4 linked regions of the Bombyx mori genome follow. The protein of the gene in region 2 purifies or fractionates together with the protein of the main gene of each other region. This does not show direct contact. Links are inferred from orthologs where the notes say so. Each region holds a gene or a part of one and is shown on either strand. Other genes may lie near its edges.

Region 1 (3,687 bases), on a different chromosome or scaffold from region 2:
GAGAGCGAGTGTCCAATCTAGCTGAGAGTGAAGAAATGACTCGTCTCCGAGCTCAATTGGCTCTGGGTAAAACTCAAACCACAACAACACCGACACAGAAAAACAAACTGCAAGGGGTATGTGTGAAAATGAATAAAACTTTTTTTTTTATTGCTTAGATGGGTGGGCTAGCTCACAGCTCACCTGGTGTTAAGTGGTTACTGCAGCCCATAGACATCTACAACGTAAATGCGCCACCCCCCACCTTGAGATATAAGTTCTAAGGTCTCAGTATAGTTACAACGGCTGCCCCACCCTTCAAACCGAAACGCATTAATGCTTCACGGCAGAAATAGGCAGGGCGGTGGTACCTACCCGTGCGGACTCGCAAGAGGTCCTACCACCAGTAAAAGACTGAAGACTGCTGGTGGGCTTTGTCTCAAGGTAGGTGGCTGAATTTACGTTGTAGATGTCTATGGGCTCCAGTAACCACTTAACATCAGGTGGGCTGTGAGCTCGTCCACCCATCTAAGCAACAAAAAAAAGGAAATGTTTCGGTGATCGTAGCTGATTTCGAGAGCTCATTAAAATAATTTATACAATAGTGTTAAATTTTCATTGCTTCAATTTGTATATCTGTTTGTTAATTTTTCAATCAGTTGATTGTCAGAAAGCGTAAGGCGAGCGAAATAGAAGAGGAAAATCAGAAAGACGCGCCGCCCGCCAAGACCAACGGAGTGGTTTCGAACAAGTAATTAAATTTTCTTTTTTTTTTTTAACTATTGCATAGCTTTTATCGCGGGCCTTGAGCGCGGCGACTGAATCAAGAAATTCCGTAACGAAAATAACCTGACACCCCTCACTCCGCCTACCATGTAGCTCGCGTTCAACACATTCACACGTCGCGCTGGTGTAGTGTTTGTGAATAAGCGCGCGGCGTGACGTCGCACTGCATGAGCATCATGAAAAGTCTGCCCATCTCTCTCTCACGCGGTCTAGCTTATGAGTGTGAAGTGGACAGTTAATGTTTTGCTTTTGTTAATGTTTATAAATATAGCGTGGTCTTATTCTTATTATTGTTTTAATATTAAATTATTATTGTCTAATTGTAATTGCATAAGTTGATAAAAAATGCTTTGCAAATAGCTTTACCGCGGCAGTCCCCGAGTGCCACATGTCTTTTTTATTGATGCACATAACAAATTACAACCATAGAAATTGTAAGTTTAAATATTTAACATAATAATCTGGATGGCAGTTCAAAACAGGTGCATACAGAAAAAAATTAACAACTGAACAGATGCCTAAATACCATGTGTATATTATATACATACACACATACGCTCTCACACACACACACACACGCTCTCACACACACGCACACGCACAGCCATATGTAAGTTACTATCTAATTAAATTATGCACCTGATCTTTAGTGGTTACAGACGTCCACGACCACATCTCAAAGGTCAGAGTCAGCCATACCACTCTTCCGACCAGAGAATCTGGTGGAAATAGTGGTAAGGTTCCGACTAGTGCGGACTGTATGTGCTGATATCAACTTGAAACAGAACCTATAAACCTCAATTCTATAACGACCGCTCCACCCTAAAAACTGGAACAGCTACCTGCTTCAAGGTAGAAATAGGTAGAGTGGTAGCACCTACCCGTGCGGAATCGCAAGTCGTCCTACCACCATTAAAGTAATATAATTGTGGTACACGATAGCAACTAATATCGCCTGATTCTTAATCTGACAAATACAGATCAGGTAAAGTCCTCTGATCTCAATACTTTAAACAAATTTAATTTACAACTACCTGCAATTCGTGCAAATCCACACGTCATTTCGGATCCTCCCGATCCACTAACGGTGCTTTTAGGTACCTCAACTCAAGCACCGGTCATTGTTCTCGTCGAACCCGTCGCTTGCGACGAAGGGCTCGACGAGTAAATTAACCCTCAGACACAGCCCACTCACTGAGTTTCTCGCCGGATCTTCTCAGTGGGTCGCGTTTCCGATCCCGTGGTAGATTCTGCGAAGCACGGCTCTTGCTAGGTTTCGTGTTAGCATCGTCGTCAGGTTTGAGCCCCGTGACCTCACCTGCTAGTTAAGGTTACGTTGAAATAACCTCTTAAGGCTCTCAGCTAGGTAGGAATAAAAAAAAAGCAAATGCAACATTAAAAGGTTGACATGTGTGATTTTTTTTAGAATGTTTTACGGCCCTGGATGCGAGTTCTTATGAGCCCGTAGTAAAGTCACAAATTCACTTTACTGTTTTTATTTTTAAAGTACACCTATTGTAAGACCATGTGTGATTTCTTCCGCAGTGTTGCAACAAGTAAAATTCAAGCGGATTCCGGGATAGTCGTGGGCGCGTTGAGTGTGGCCGGAGTGTTGCCAGGGTTGGGACACTACCGCTCTGATTCATCTACCGATACAACCGATTCTAGTGACGACGAGGTATGTTAATAATTAAAAACAAAAGTCTGCTTAGTTTAAAAATAAGAATAGTAACGAAAAACCCATCTTGTGTGCTCACAAGAGGTATATACCGCTATGCTATCTAGTTCTGATACATTGTAGCGGCCGTCTGGTGTAGTGGTAAGTGACATGGTCTCTACAACGTAAATGCGCCACCAACCTTGAGTTCTAAGGTCTCAGTATAGGTACAACGGCGAAATAGGCAGAGTGATGACCTACCTGTACCTACCCGTGCGGCCTCGCAAGACGTCCTAACACCAGTAGGACTGTTGGAAACCCAACAAATTGGTATAAAACCTTTTTTATTGTTGTGGTTATGGTTTTGACATTACATTTGAATTTTGGAATGTCTTAGATTTGTCATTCTCTTTTTATACGTGCAATCCTCGCGAGTTTATTTATTAAGTTCCTTGCCCATCCTAATCCCACAGTCCACTACAGGACTCCTTATATACAGCATGCTGTTTATTGGATTGTTAAAATATATACAGTATGTTTTTTTTTAGAGCGATAAATGTTGCAAGAGGGACTTGCTGGGACGGCGGCCGGAGCACGCGGAGAGCAAGTCGCGCAAAGACGAATCCAAAAGTTAGGGTTGTCTATGAAATACGACGATTTATTTAAAAAAAACAATGATTCCGCAAACGTATCCTGTTTACGCGTACTTTCGAACGATGTGATTTTAGTATGTAAGTTATTGAAATAAATGAAAGGTTTTATTGATTTTCTTTGTTTTATTTCTGGAAGTGATAACTTCTTAAGAGAAGATAAGCCGCTTCGTTACGTAACGCGTGACGGCGTTAGTCTTGCTTCCCTTACGTAATTTTTTTTTTTTTATTGTTTAGGTATGTGGACGAGCTCACAGCCCACCTGGTGTTAAGTGGTTACTGGAGCCCATAGACATCTATAACGTAAATGCGCCACACACCTTGAGATATAGTTCTAAGGGTCTCAGTATTGTCACAACGGCTACCCCACCCTTCAAACCGAAACGCATTACTGCTTCACGGCAGAAATAGGCGGGGTGGTGGTACCTACCCGCGCGGACTCACAAGAGGTCCTACCACCAGTCATTACGCAAATTATAATTTTGCGGGTTTGATTTTTATTACACGATGTTATTCCTTCACTGTGGAAGTCAATCGTGAACATTTGTTAAGTACGTATTTCATTAGAAAAATTGGTACCCGCCTGCGGGATTCGAACACCGTCGCATCGCTCGA
Region 2 (4,267 bases):
TATGAAACTTCTAAGTCAATTCGTACCGTACCTATTACAATAAATCGGCAATTTCATACTTTAACCCGTATTATTTAGTTAAGCAATTCAAGCACTCAACAAAAATGTTTATGGGCGTCGGCCACTAGATGGCTTCTCTTCGTTTAGTTTCTAGTTACTCCTGTAGATGGCAGTAACATATTATCCATATGTTGTATTTCTAATGAAGGATTTTGTACATTTTTAAAAACCACTTATGTAACCAATTAAGTGTATTTATTATCTATATGTAACCTAAAACAGTATGGCATAAACAATACCGTTAATATAAAGCATTTACACACGCTCCAATTTGGTTCGAACTTACCACCAATTTGTTTTGCTACTAAACCAAATCTGATCGTCTGTGGCGTGGTCCTGCGAACATAGTAATTATTAGTTAAGTCTGCCTCAGTCTGCTGGTTAACACTTCTGATTTGGTTTGCTCCATTTGCGGCTAATTTGGTCTACCAGACCAAATTGGAGCATGTGTTAATACTTTTAGGAACAAGTATTACATCGTATAATATATTGGTGGAACCCTGCTACTACTTAATTAACTAAGATTGGTTAGAGTTAACTGTTTCCTCAATGTTAAAATTGTTAGTTAGCTCCAACGCATGTCAACAATTGTTTATGGCGGTATTCACGAAAATTAATAAACAAACTACTGCTACTGTTCTATTATAAATAAGTTACTTTTGTCGCACAAGACCCGATTCTGCCGGCCGAATGATAAACAGTCGACGTCGCCCTAAGCACGTCAATTCGGATCCTCCCGATCTACTAACAGTGATTTTAGAGACCTCAAGCACCGGTCACCGTTCTCGTCGAACCCGCCCCTTTTCCGATCCGGTGGTAGATTCTGCGAAGCACTGCTCTTGCCAAGGCCAATGTTAGCAGCACTCCCGGTTTGAGCCCCGTGAGCTCACCTACACGTCAAGGAGAAGCTGAAATAGGCTATAACTATAGGTAGAAAAAGAATCACTCTTTAAATGTATGTTTAGTGAAAAAAATTTTTAATAACAAATATATTTTATGAACTGAATTAAATGTAATTAGTGGCCATTTTCCAATTACTGGAAATTGAAATTGGAAAACTACCATTAAGTAATGGTTAATTACAGAGCATAATGCGACTCAGTGACGCACAATGCCGAATTATGCTGAAGCTTAGGAGCATTATGCCGCATAATGCGCTCTTGTGCTGTAATTGGAAAACGGCCAGTTATTGGGTATGTACGTATTTCATTAGAAAATTCGATACTTATTTGCGGGATTTAAAACGCAAATTCGTTCCTGTCGTAATTCCCAGTTAAATTTATACATATACTACACAGAGTTAATTAATAAAGCTGAGAAAGCTAGAAACAAATAATATATTTCTCACAATTTTAATAATTGATTTACGTTACTACCTCTATAAATCAGGACTTTTTCAATTAAGTAGGTAGGTACCTATGAAATTAAAAAAACTAATGCTATCGACTTATAAAATAAAAATGAATGCAGAAAGGAAAAAATAGGAAATGGAAAATAGAAATTAAAAACACTAAACACATGCAGGATCTAGAAAGTAAACGTAAAATACATTAGTGTAAAATATGTTTTGAACTGTCAGTCTTTGAATATGAACGCACCTTAAGACTTACAAAAACCAAAATTCATACATTCATAATACACGAGTAATTGATAACTTTGCAAAAGTGCGGTTTTTGTTTAAAAACAGTAAAAAAGGGATTAATCTTTATTAAATCCCTATAAAGTAATTCATCTCATAATGACAGACGTTGCAAAAAAGGTAAATTAAATAAAATAGCTTTAACAATATCGCTTTGTTTGACACGAGTATCGTCTGTAGTCTGTTGATCAGTGCGTGCGACCATAATTTTAATTTACCGTTTGTTAATTGAAAAATCATTCACTTTACATTCTGAATATAACACTTCTGATCACTGAATTTTACAGAGGGAATAATCTGTTACAAGTCGTCATAATGGGAGCTGTAAGTTTCGAGCAAAATCAACATAACCTCAACACGCCATGGTGTTCTGCTGTATCGTCCAATGAATTTGATTATCAGGTGGCGACATAATTGGCTCGTGTGTATTTCAGGTCCAAGACTACAAAGATTCTTTGAAACTAAAGGCGGAGCATTTGATAATTAAAGGTTTCCCAGAAAAGATAGTGAAATTAAATGAATTACTAGAGACATCAAACTTTCAAAATCGGAATTTATCGGACGTACATCAGGTGAATATCGCGACAATCTTATTACTATTTCGTACAGAAGTTTCGTATTTAGTACTTTCTATTTCGCATAGTGTATTTCTAGAAGTTTCCTAAGGCTCAAAAGTCAAATTGATTTTCCTATTATTTTTCCTAGAGTCGCCTTATTTCTAAAATCTTTTTAAAGGAACAAAATATGTATTCAACTTTAAACAAAAAAGTTACATTGTTATAAACTGTCTTTTAAACTCATAAACGCTCTCCACTTAAACATATATACATAAAATGTTACATAAAATCTTAAATTTCCCTTTTATATTCTCAATTTTTTTGACTATTGGTCATAATATGTAAATCCATATAACCTAATTAATATATAAAAAAACAACTTTTTAAACTTATGTGATATGAATGAATTGTTTAAAATACATTTTATAAAACTATTAATGCTAGCCTTTTTATCTCTTCTGAGATTTCTCACAACATCAATATACATATGTGTAGCTAGTATCTTGTAATTGTTAACAGTAGGCAGTGGTGTGGCTCTACCCCTGGGATTACTGATGTCTATGAGTGGCAATAATCACTCATCATCATAAGTATATAAGGGTATAAGGCTGGATAACAGCTTATTCTCTTTTTGGGTTTAACATTCAGAATTATAAATGGCTTAAAATGGAATTATAAACATGTTTTTACTAAACAGGTCTTATCTTTCTGTCTTATTTATGCCTTATGCCAACTTCTGTTTTAATTCAAATACTTGAAAAACAAGGCAAATGTTATGCTTCAGATTTTTATTTGGAAAAAGCATTTTGCACATTGCATTTTGGCCAATGTATACGCTTTTACTCTTTTAATTGAGAATTTCCGTGTTCAGTTGGAAATGGCTAGTCAAAATTCAGTTAACATCGATTATGATAAAGAGGGTGAAGATATTTTTTTTTGTCACTGAAATAAATAAATGAAACAACAAATTCAAACTGTTTTATGAACTGGATGCTTTTCATAAGGTCAAAGAGTTATAAAGTGACTGTGTATCAATGCCCTGTTTTTTTCTTCTTAAAAACTGTCACTAGATTCATCATCAAAGTCTCTCTCTAGTCACTCATTAGAAAATCAAATTTATTAACCCGTAGCAGTTTTTCCCTTTACAACATTCAAGAAACATTTCTGTCATGTACACCCAAATGTACTGTGCCCATTGTGGAGTGAACATATTTAAACTTATACATTACAGTAGTAATGTTGAAATGCCATTAAAAGGTAGTTGATTAATTCTGTGTGTATATAGTAATAATTATGTATAACAAATATTTGTCTACTGATTTAGAAATCAACTTAACAGTTAAATAATTTAACTATTCTCACAGCAACATGCTTGATCATTAAATCTTGATAACATATAGGCCAAAGATTATGCTAGGATGTCTTGTGAGTGTGCACCACCACCCTGCCTATTTCTGTTGTGAAGCAGTAATGCGTTTCAGTTTGAAGGGTGGAGCAGCCATTGTACTGTTGAAATTGAGACCTTAGAACTAGTGATTGAAGGTGGGCAACCACTTAACACTAGGTGGGCACCAAGCCCTTGAAAGTTAAACAAAAAAATAAATAATAACCATTACTGATTTCAAATCTAGCATTATTGCATCACTTGAGAGTCCTGAATAGTTGGCAGCCTTTGCCTCATTATCTAGCATTGTTGATATCCTTGAGCTACAGTGACTACTTAACATCAGGTTAGCCATATGCTCATCTGCCACAATGGCAATAATAAAGTACTTTTACCTTTATTCTTAAATAGAATAACTTACAATATTCTGATGAAATCAAGTATTTTTACATTTTGGATGTTTGATAATGATTTAATTTCAGGATTTAAACATTCCAATACCAACACCACCTGCGACGTCAAACAATGAGCCAAATGCTAAACGTCAAAGACTGGACTCATCGGAGTTATCCAGCAACTCAACCATAGAAGGAACACGGGTTTATGTACTGCCGAATGGTTCAGTAC
Region 3 (3,933 bases), on a different chromosome or scaffold from region 2:
AAAGGTATATTAATGATTTTTTTATACTGTTGAGTGCTAGTGTGTTAGGGTTTTTCTGGAGAGGATTACTTGTACCAACGTCAATTAGTTACCTGTTTCCTTAATTCAAGCCAATAATGTATCCCGAATTTGTATCTAGTAAGCTAAAGCTATGCTCATATTTATATATACCATAGACATTTTCCCTCATATTGACCAAGCGGACATGTCACAAATTGTTTTTTTTTTTTTATTGCCTTTGTAGGTAGACGGGCATACTGCCCACCTGATGGTGAGTGGTTACCGTCGCCCATGGACTTCAGCAATGTCAGGGGCAGAGCCAAGCCGCTGCCTACCGCTTAAAAAAAAATCCTAACTTAAGTAGGATTTTTTTTTCATTCCTATACTCTAGTAACCTTGAGGAGTTATTCTAGATTCACCGAACCAGTAGGTGAGCTCACGAAGCTCAAACCTTGACGACGTTGCTAATACTAACCCTAACAAAAGGAGCGCTTCGCAGAATCTACCACCGGGTCTGAAACACGACCCGCTGAGAAGATCCGGCGAGAAAGTCAGGTCACTCAGTGACGGGTTCGACGAGAAGGTTAGGATATGTATTGACAACCATAAACATGGTGTCCCAGAACTCAACGTCAAGCCGAAACCTGGTGACAGGAACAATCATGAGAAAAATCAGAAAAAAAATCTATCCAATGCAGTTTGGAAATTATGACCATTTAAGGAAAACCTAGAAATTTGGTCAAACTGTAACCATTTTTCGGTTATTGTGGTTAATTTTTATTATTTTTGTTCATTTAAACTTTGGAACCGTAACCCTAAATAACATTTCTAGAACCACAGTCAAAAATAAAAGCACAACTGACCCCAAGTTTTCTAGAATTAAGATTATTTGTCAAACTATGAATCTAAAATTTTCAAAATTTGTCGACTTTGAAAGGCCCTCCTTTAAAAAAAAGTACTAAAGTGCCTTGGCAAGTGCCATTAAAAGTTCGCGCATTAAATCAGGATTGTAAAATGGTACAAAACTTGTTAGTTTCATACTAAAAAAAATAAGAACCCCGAGTGACCTGATACTAACCCATTTTACTCAGTTCAAATGTTTTTTATTCACACAAGCTCTTGGTAGGTTCTTAATTTTACGACAAAATGATGAGAGAGATGGATAGCGGACATGTTTGCATGAGCGACCGAGACAGATAGTGACAGATATAAAACACAAATGATAACTATGATTGGTTTTATCACTAGTTTCATTTAGATTATACAATATTTTGTTATTCCACGGTAATATTGTGGGAGAATATTACAGTTTAGACCGAGCAGCAATTGCACCAATCTCACTTGAACTCTCCAACGATCCAACTCGATACGTTTTTATTGCTCAAAATGTGTCACCAGACAATATACGCCTTCCCAAAGTAAAGATGGCACCTTGACCATGCGGAAGATAAATGCTCTGCTCTGATTGGTTGTTACCTACATGAATTTACAATTTTGGCACCTTTTATTACAATTTATTTTTATAGAAGGTTTTAAAGCTATAGGAAAATGTAACAAACAAAATAAAATAAAATTAAGAATTATAAAAGTAATTACAACCTAAAAATAATAATATATGCATTTTGTATGTAAACAAGAATCAACTCTATTCATTGCTTCCTTTGACATATATATACAAGATAAATTCTTTATAACCAATATAATTGTTCATTTATAGGAAAGCAGTTGATGAAAGAAGAATTTATCCCATATAAGTGGAAGTCTGAAAATAGTACTGCACTGTGTAAATGATGATATGAGATGGGTATCAATGCCGAGATGACAATTTATAATAAGCCTGAATGGTAAAAAAGATATGTGCGTCAAGTTCACACAATGTAGGATGAGTAAGAAAAGCAGACAATACTTGTTCTCTTATACGAATAGGAGTATTAAGTAACTAATGTTAAAATTTAAAACTAACTAACATGTTTCTGATGTTTTTTTTTTTATATCTTAGATGGGTGGATGAGCTCAGAGCCCACCTGGTGTTAAGTAGTTACCTGAGCCCAGTATAGTTACAAGGGCTGCCCCACCCTTCAAACCGAAACGCATTACTGCTTCGCTGCTAGAAAATTCGCTTACGTTAAGCCCGTTAGCTCACCTACCTGTTTAGGCGTAACTGGAATGGCCTCCTAGGCTATCAGCAAATAAGTAGGGACAAAAAGGAGACTCAACTCACCAATGTGGCCAGTTATCATCTCGACTTTGTTGACACTGTGTTCATCATACAGTATGCTCTTGTGTTTGTTCTCTGTGGCAATCACGACGCCATTTGACGCTGCAAATATGAAAACATCCTTTTTACTCTTAAAAATACTGAGTCATCCTGGGAAAAAATATACATTTGCGGTTTTTTTATGTGATGATACACAGTAATTAGTACAAAGGAAGTTATAGTTCTAGTTTAGAATTATAATAACCTTTAATTTTTATTTACTAACCTTTGATGCCGACGGAAGTACCACCGGCGGCTACGGCAGCTAAAGCATATTCGATTTGCACTAATTTGCCCGAGGGGCTGCAAAAACACAACAATTGAGATAACATTAACCAAAAATCATACCGCAACTTTAGTGTGAATCAAACAGAGTAGATTAGACGCTAAGACATTAAGCAACTTAAGTCATCATTGAAAATTATCACAGAACTTTATGTTCCATTGCTAATTAGACTTTTAAAACATGTAAATATATAGTTTTTTTACCTAAATGTTGTGAGAGAAAAACTGTATCTCTCCGACGCCATGATTACAGTGCAGATTGTCAAATTTGTCAATAATTCACTGCGTCATGTTGTCATCACTGTTTTCCAATCGTTCAGAAATATTTCTCAATTAGTTTGATCACATCTTCTTAAATTTTTTATATGGCAACATCAAATTGACTCACTCCTTATTGGTCAATTGGATTTAGTCTGAAATAGGCTTAACCAATAAAAGGCGATGCTTCTCGCTCAATATTTTGTTGTCGCATCCTTCTAAAAAAATCTATTTTTAATTTAATGGTTTCCCATTGAAATACGTGCGTAAACATTAGTGCGTTATGTCGGTTGGCCTCCGCGGAGTATCTTCGTCCTCAGAGACCATGTCCGAGAGCACGTTAGAGAGAAACCGAGCTGAAAAGGCTCTGATAACAAAAACTCCAACGCATACGTTACTCAAAAGTAATATTAAAAATTATTCGGACAGGAACGGGAACGATGTCACGGAAACCGTACACAGAGGGAGGAAAACCTTCGCATTTTGGACTCTCGTTTGTCTTTTATTCGTATTGGCTATCGGGAACTTAATTCTGACATTCACGATACTAGCCGTCTTGAGATTGGGACAAGGTAACTATTCTTGTTTTCAACAAAAAAATAATCAAACTGTAGATATTAGGACGTAATAGGTCTTAATAAGTAAGTTCTTTTCTAACGCCCTATCATTAGTTCGTCCTGCATATATGGAATGGAATATTTTAACGTAATTTTAACAGACTTAAAGACGTCCAAATAATTTGAAAATTCACACACACGTCTAGAAGCGACGTCAGTACCACAGTTTTATCGTTGATCTAAAATATCGATCAAGTTCACGTACAGTTTTGAAACTATATTTCTTTAGTACCTAAGCTACCCTATCATTGGTGTCCAACCGGATATAAAGACAAAGATAAGGTCTAAGGTCTTATACATTATTTTTCTGTTAATAACTTAAATACCGTATTTAACCTATGCCCATATCCTCATTACCATTATTAGGAAGGGAATTGAACAATTATCCTGTTCTTTTTAACTCTTCTTCTGATCTGCGTGCTGTTCCAACTTTTATACCCGATTCATCATCGTAAGCCTATAGTACATTGCTGGACCTCTCCAATTGTACGCCACTGAGCTTGATCCTCTGCTTCT
Region 4 (4,179 bases), on a different chromosome or scaffold from region 2:
GAGAATAGAAGTATCACTTTCATACCTGCTTCAACTGCTTCAGCTTCTTCAATTGCGAGATCTATTTCCTCATCGCTCACATTGGACCAGAATTCAATACCTTGTAATGAAATCTCATCAATATCAGATTTCATAGCCTCAAGTGTTATGGGGAATAGAGCTTGTCCCATGTAAGGTTCCATATGTTGATAATAAAGTGATAAAATTTTCACCTGAAGATAATTTTGTTTGATTAAAAACTATTTTTTAAATTAATTAATACAGTAATTGTTTAAATTTAATCATGTCAATAGCTGGTATCCCAAAAAATAAGTCTTAGCTTTGTTATTCATGTTAATATTATAAATTTATAACTGAGTAAATGTAATATTAATATAAATTGTAATTCATACACTTTCATATCTAACTAATCAATCATTAATTATGAAATTTTACATAAATGCTGTCAAGAGTACAGAAAAGGACATAAAAGGATACTATCCACAAAAAAGTAATATTCCTGAGGTATATAATTTTTTCTACTTTCATGGGAAGAAAGCTAATGTGGTAGCTAAGGTGGTATTTTATTTTAATTTTAAATATAATACTTGGATTCACATTATATATTTATAAAACTTACTAAGCATTGCAAAGCAGCAACGCTGATTCTCATGTCACTAGACTGTGTGGCTTCACAGACAACCTCCATAATAAAGTTTCTTTCATTTTCTTTTTCAAAGTTCGCTCTGGTGAATTCTAGAGAGTTGAGCAAAGCTTGAGTAGCAGCTAGTCGAACATGATTACTGGGTTCAGTTGACCTCATGCCATGTATGATGGCCGTAAGAATTTGATTACTTCTTTCTGTTAATACTTCAGCATCAATATCCTGACAAATGTAGCCTAGAAGAATAAGAAATACATCAGTATTGTTAAAGAGATTAATAGCAATTTGCCTTTAGTTATAAAGCACAATTAAAACTGTAATTTTTTTTTTGTTTATTTATATAACATAATTTGTCATAGCTCTTTTAACTATCAAATGTTCATTCAGTTACCAATAGCCTCCAAAGTCGCTTCCTTTTTGAGTTCAGTAGATTGGACATGAACAACATTTTCTACAAGAATTGGTATTAGATCATTCCATTGTCCTACTGGGAGCTCAGCTACTGCCACATACGCCACACACTGTGCTGCTGAACTTGGACGACTATTCTCTGTTCCTATAGCAGCTAATATCTAAAAAAGAAACTAGTATTAAAATTAAATATAACTTGGTTACCTACACCTGATGGAACTTATCAGATTCTCCACCTTCATTAGTTCAAGCTCTATACTATAACTATACCTGAGACCTTAGAACTTGTATCTCAAGATGGGTGGCGTAATTACGTTTTAGATGTCTTGTGTGTTTGTATTTATTAGTGTTGTGTTAAATTATATTTATTACTAATTTTAATTTTAATCTAAGTAAGACATACAGGGAATTGCTATTTAGACAATAATTGAGCAATTTAGCTTAGAGATAATATTATATATATTTTTATTATTAAGTAACTTATTAGTGAATTTTTCAATGTTTCACTTGTTTCTTGTTTGCAATATTGCCTTACATTTTCTTTTATATAAAGTCGAACATCTTCTGCCAAAGCCAGCCATCTTTGTTGATATTGTTGTTTAAGTGTAGGATCTTTAGAAGTGAGATGATTTTTCAATTGCAAACCAGCTGCCATCCTAGCCACTTGACTGTTACCACCTTGGAGAAGGACATCGGACAACATTTTGATGAATGTTGTGAAATTTGTGGTGGCAGCATGGTCGAGGTATCTAACTGCTGCTTCCAATTCATTTCGATCTGTAAGCAATAACCATAATCTAAGTACATAATTTACAAAGTGAAGTACCCCAAATTTAACTATGTCTGTATACTGATATGTCACATGAAAACAAAAGGTGTTAGAGAATCAAATTTGTGAGGTCTTTTTTGTATTTTATTACCACTGAAACCAGGCGAGAATATGGGCCACCTAATGGTGAGTAGTCACGATCACTAATCCAAGTCATCCATGCCAAGGGAACATCAAAACCAATTGATTATTTAGTACCACTACTTCTTTTATTATAATTTCTTAATAAATATTTTTATACTTTGAAATAATGTTGTTTAAATATATTTTATACGGCCCCTGTTGCACATTGTTTCTTTCTTATTAGGGTATGTATGTACAAAATCGTTACCTATTCATTTAATACTACAGAATATCCACTATTTTCTAACCTTAAACTTATTTTTTTGTTTTTTATATGTACAATGAATTAAAATAGCTATTGAATTCAAAAGTTATAGCACACTTTTTCATTGAATGTTAATAACACAGACATCGTGAGGTTCGAAAGCTGAACTAGAAGTTTCCTGGATGACAGGTAAGCATTGCGGTTGGTGATACTAGATAAAATTACAGTCTCGTTTTAATTCAAATGCTTTTTGCTGAGAAATGCCATTTTTTTATCCATTCTACAGTTTTTCCGGATAAATTTCAGAATCATGGCATAGTTTATAGGTAGCAAAAGTACGTTATTTTCTATAACGCCATCCATGTTCATGTTGATGTTAGTCATATTACTTACCAGGTGAAACTGTCTTCTCAAGTATTTGTATAAGCGTTAATGTTGTTTCTGCGTGCATTGTTTCACTATTCTTAAGTTTATGTTGCAAAAGACTGACTCAATCCTGTTTTTTGAAAAATAGAAACCGGCGGACGACGGAAGAACACTCATGAAATATTGGCTATTGAGTATTGTTGCCAGCAGAGGGTATTTTTAATCTATACTCTATTTCAATTGTGATAGTGTAGGACACTGGCCCACGAAATCTGGTAAAGATGTCGCTAGCAGCTGATTTTTCAAGAAAAAAGTGTTTGGTATTTAATCAAGTGTAATTTCTCTCGATTTCCCCCAAAAGGCACATATAAACCACAATAAGTTTTTCAATTTCAAGTATTTGGTTATATATCATGACAATGATAAGCTTTCCAAGAAGTCCTAATGGATTTACCATAATTAATCTCAAATAGCAAATAGTTATTTATGCGAGCATTCAACTTTTGTCCAGTTCCTCATGTCACACATCTGCAGTAATGCTGTTGCCATTTGATCAGAAGGTGTGATACCGGCACTAGACCATCAAATATTGACCATGACTTTTATGGATGTGTTTTTGTTTAGGGCATTGCTTAATTGCTTAACCAGGGTATAATCAACATGATGACCGCTTACAATTATTAAAAATAATAATTTTTTCTTGGCAAGTAATAATGCGGTTTAAAATCCCTTACTTTCTGAGTCTGTCGAGCAACTGTATACGCAACTTATATTTTAATGCGTTCGTCGCGTTGGCGATCGTTCAATTGGTACAGCAACTACATAACAAGTTTTGTTACTTTCCCAATTTGACGCAAATAAACCTATATTGTATTGATGCTAGCATTAAAAGCTGTTGCTAATTCAACGATAGCTTGAGTGTCGTTATTTTCCACGATCGCTTCTGATTCGTCGTTGATGATTGTATAGATTTAGGCGTTCGTATTTTATATCAAATTTCCGGAAAGGCTTACTCAAAGTGTTCACTCCATACATATATAATTAATGTTGTGGGTTGTTTGTGCGGCATTGTTGCCGCGATGGAACTCTTATTCCATTATTACATATATTTTTACTATACCTATATTAACATGAATGTGATGAAAACAAAGCACTAATCAAATGACCGAATTTGAAAATAGAATTCCATATTTTATAAATAAGATTAGGTAATTTGAATTTATGATTTATTGCTAGAATTTAAATTTTTTTCTAGGCATGCATGATGTGTCATAATAATATGGCCTTGTAAAACGGCAACTTCGTAAAGATATACATAAATAAGACATTTCAAAATACAAGAATATAGGTCTAAGGATAAAGATCTATTTAGCTTTGAATTCGCTTCTATTTACCAGTCAAATTTAATAGTCAATTCAAAAAGTGAAAAAAAATTTACTTTGGACAAGTTGTTTGCGTTCTTGAACTCATACACAAAACCTCGTGCCGGAAATTGAATTTGATTCACAAAATCGTTCGGCAGTTCCAAATTGGTTTTATGGGAGTTGTGAATGTGAATCTGTATTGAGTCAACACGGTAGCGAGTATTCAGTGTGGTGCGAG

What was found. The genes of interacting proteins can lie anywhere in the genome.
Region 1: the proteins of proteasome activator complex subunit 3 (region 2) and PSME3-interacting protein purify together in Homo sapiens (affinity purification with mass spectrometry; 4 studies listed by BioGRID and IntAct, counting the BioPlex papers as one, with this or other methods). This does not show direct contact. The link is inferred for Bombyx mori from reciprocal best matches to the Homo sapiens genes PSME3 and PSME3IP1.
Region 3: the proteins of proteasome activator complex subunit 3 (region 2) and proteasome 25 kDa subunit fractionate together in Homo sapiens (co-fractionation; 3 studies listed by BioGRID and IntAct, with this or other methods). This does not show direct contact. The link is inferred for Bombyx mori from reciprocal best matches to the Homo sapiens genes PSME3 and PSMA2.
Region 4: the proteins of proteasome activator complex subunit 3 (region 2) and importin subunit beta-1 purify together in Homo sapiens (affinity purification with mass spectrometry; 3 studies listed by BioGRID and IntAct, with this or other methods). This does not show direct contact. The link is inferred for Bombyx mori from reciprocal best matches to the Homo sapiens genes PSME3 and KPNB1.

Annotation. Positions count from the first base shown.
Region 1 is NC_085126.1:1,613,680-1,617,366, forward strand, and holds the end of PSME3-interacting protein, read left to right. Parts: intron 1-1; coding exon 2-116; intron 117-638; coding exon 639-730; intron 731-2,310; coding exon 2,311-2,443; intron 2,444-2,970; coding exon 2,971-3,057; 3' UTR 3,058-3,187; downstream 3,188-3,687. UniProt on the Homo sapiens protein: Promotes the association of the proteasome activator complex subunit PSME3 with the 20S proteasome and regulates its activity.
Region 2 is NC_085114.1:6,478,201-6,482,467, reverse strand, and holds the start of proteasome activator complex subunit 3, read left to right. Parts: upstream 1-1,467; 5' UTR 1,468-1,798; coding exon 1,799-1,819; intron 1,820-1,986; exon of another isoform or gene 1,987-2,014; coding exon of another isoform or gene 2,015-2,023; intron 2,024-2,133; coding exon 2,134-2,271; intron 2,272-4,122; coding exon 4,123-4,267. UniProt on the Homo sapiens protein: Subunit of the 11S REG-gamma (also called PA28-gamma) proteasome regulator, a doughnut-shaped homoheptamer which associates with the proteasome. 11S REG-gamma activates the trypsin-like catalytic subunit of the proteasome but inhibits the chymotrypsin-like and postglutamyl-preferring (PGPH) subunits.
Region 3 is NC_085130.1:10,804,571-10,808,503, forward strand, and holds the start of proteasome 25 kDa subunit, read right to left. Parts: upstream 2,801-3,933; 5' UTR 2,788-2,800; coding exon 2,747-2,787; intron 2,561-2,746; coding exon 2,484-2,560; intron 2,321-2,483; coding exon 2,222-2,320; intron 1-2,221. Other genes in the region: uncharacterized protein LOC101740923, read left to right, coding at 3,084-3,372.
Region 4 is NC_085110.1:11,420,898-11,425,076, reverse strand, and holds the start of importin subunit beta-1, read right to left. Parts: upstream 2,801-4,179; 5' UTR 2,663-2,800; coding exon 2,605-2,662; intron 1,832-2,604; coding exon 1,590-1,831; intron 1,216-1,589; coding exon 1,035-1,215; intron 880-1,034; coding exon 620-879; intron 213-619; coding exon 26-212; intron 1-25.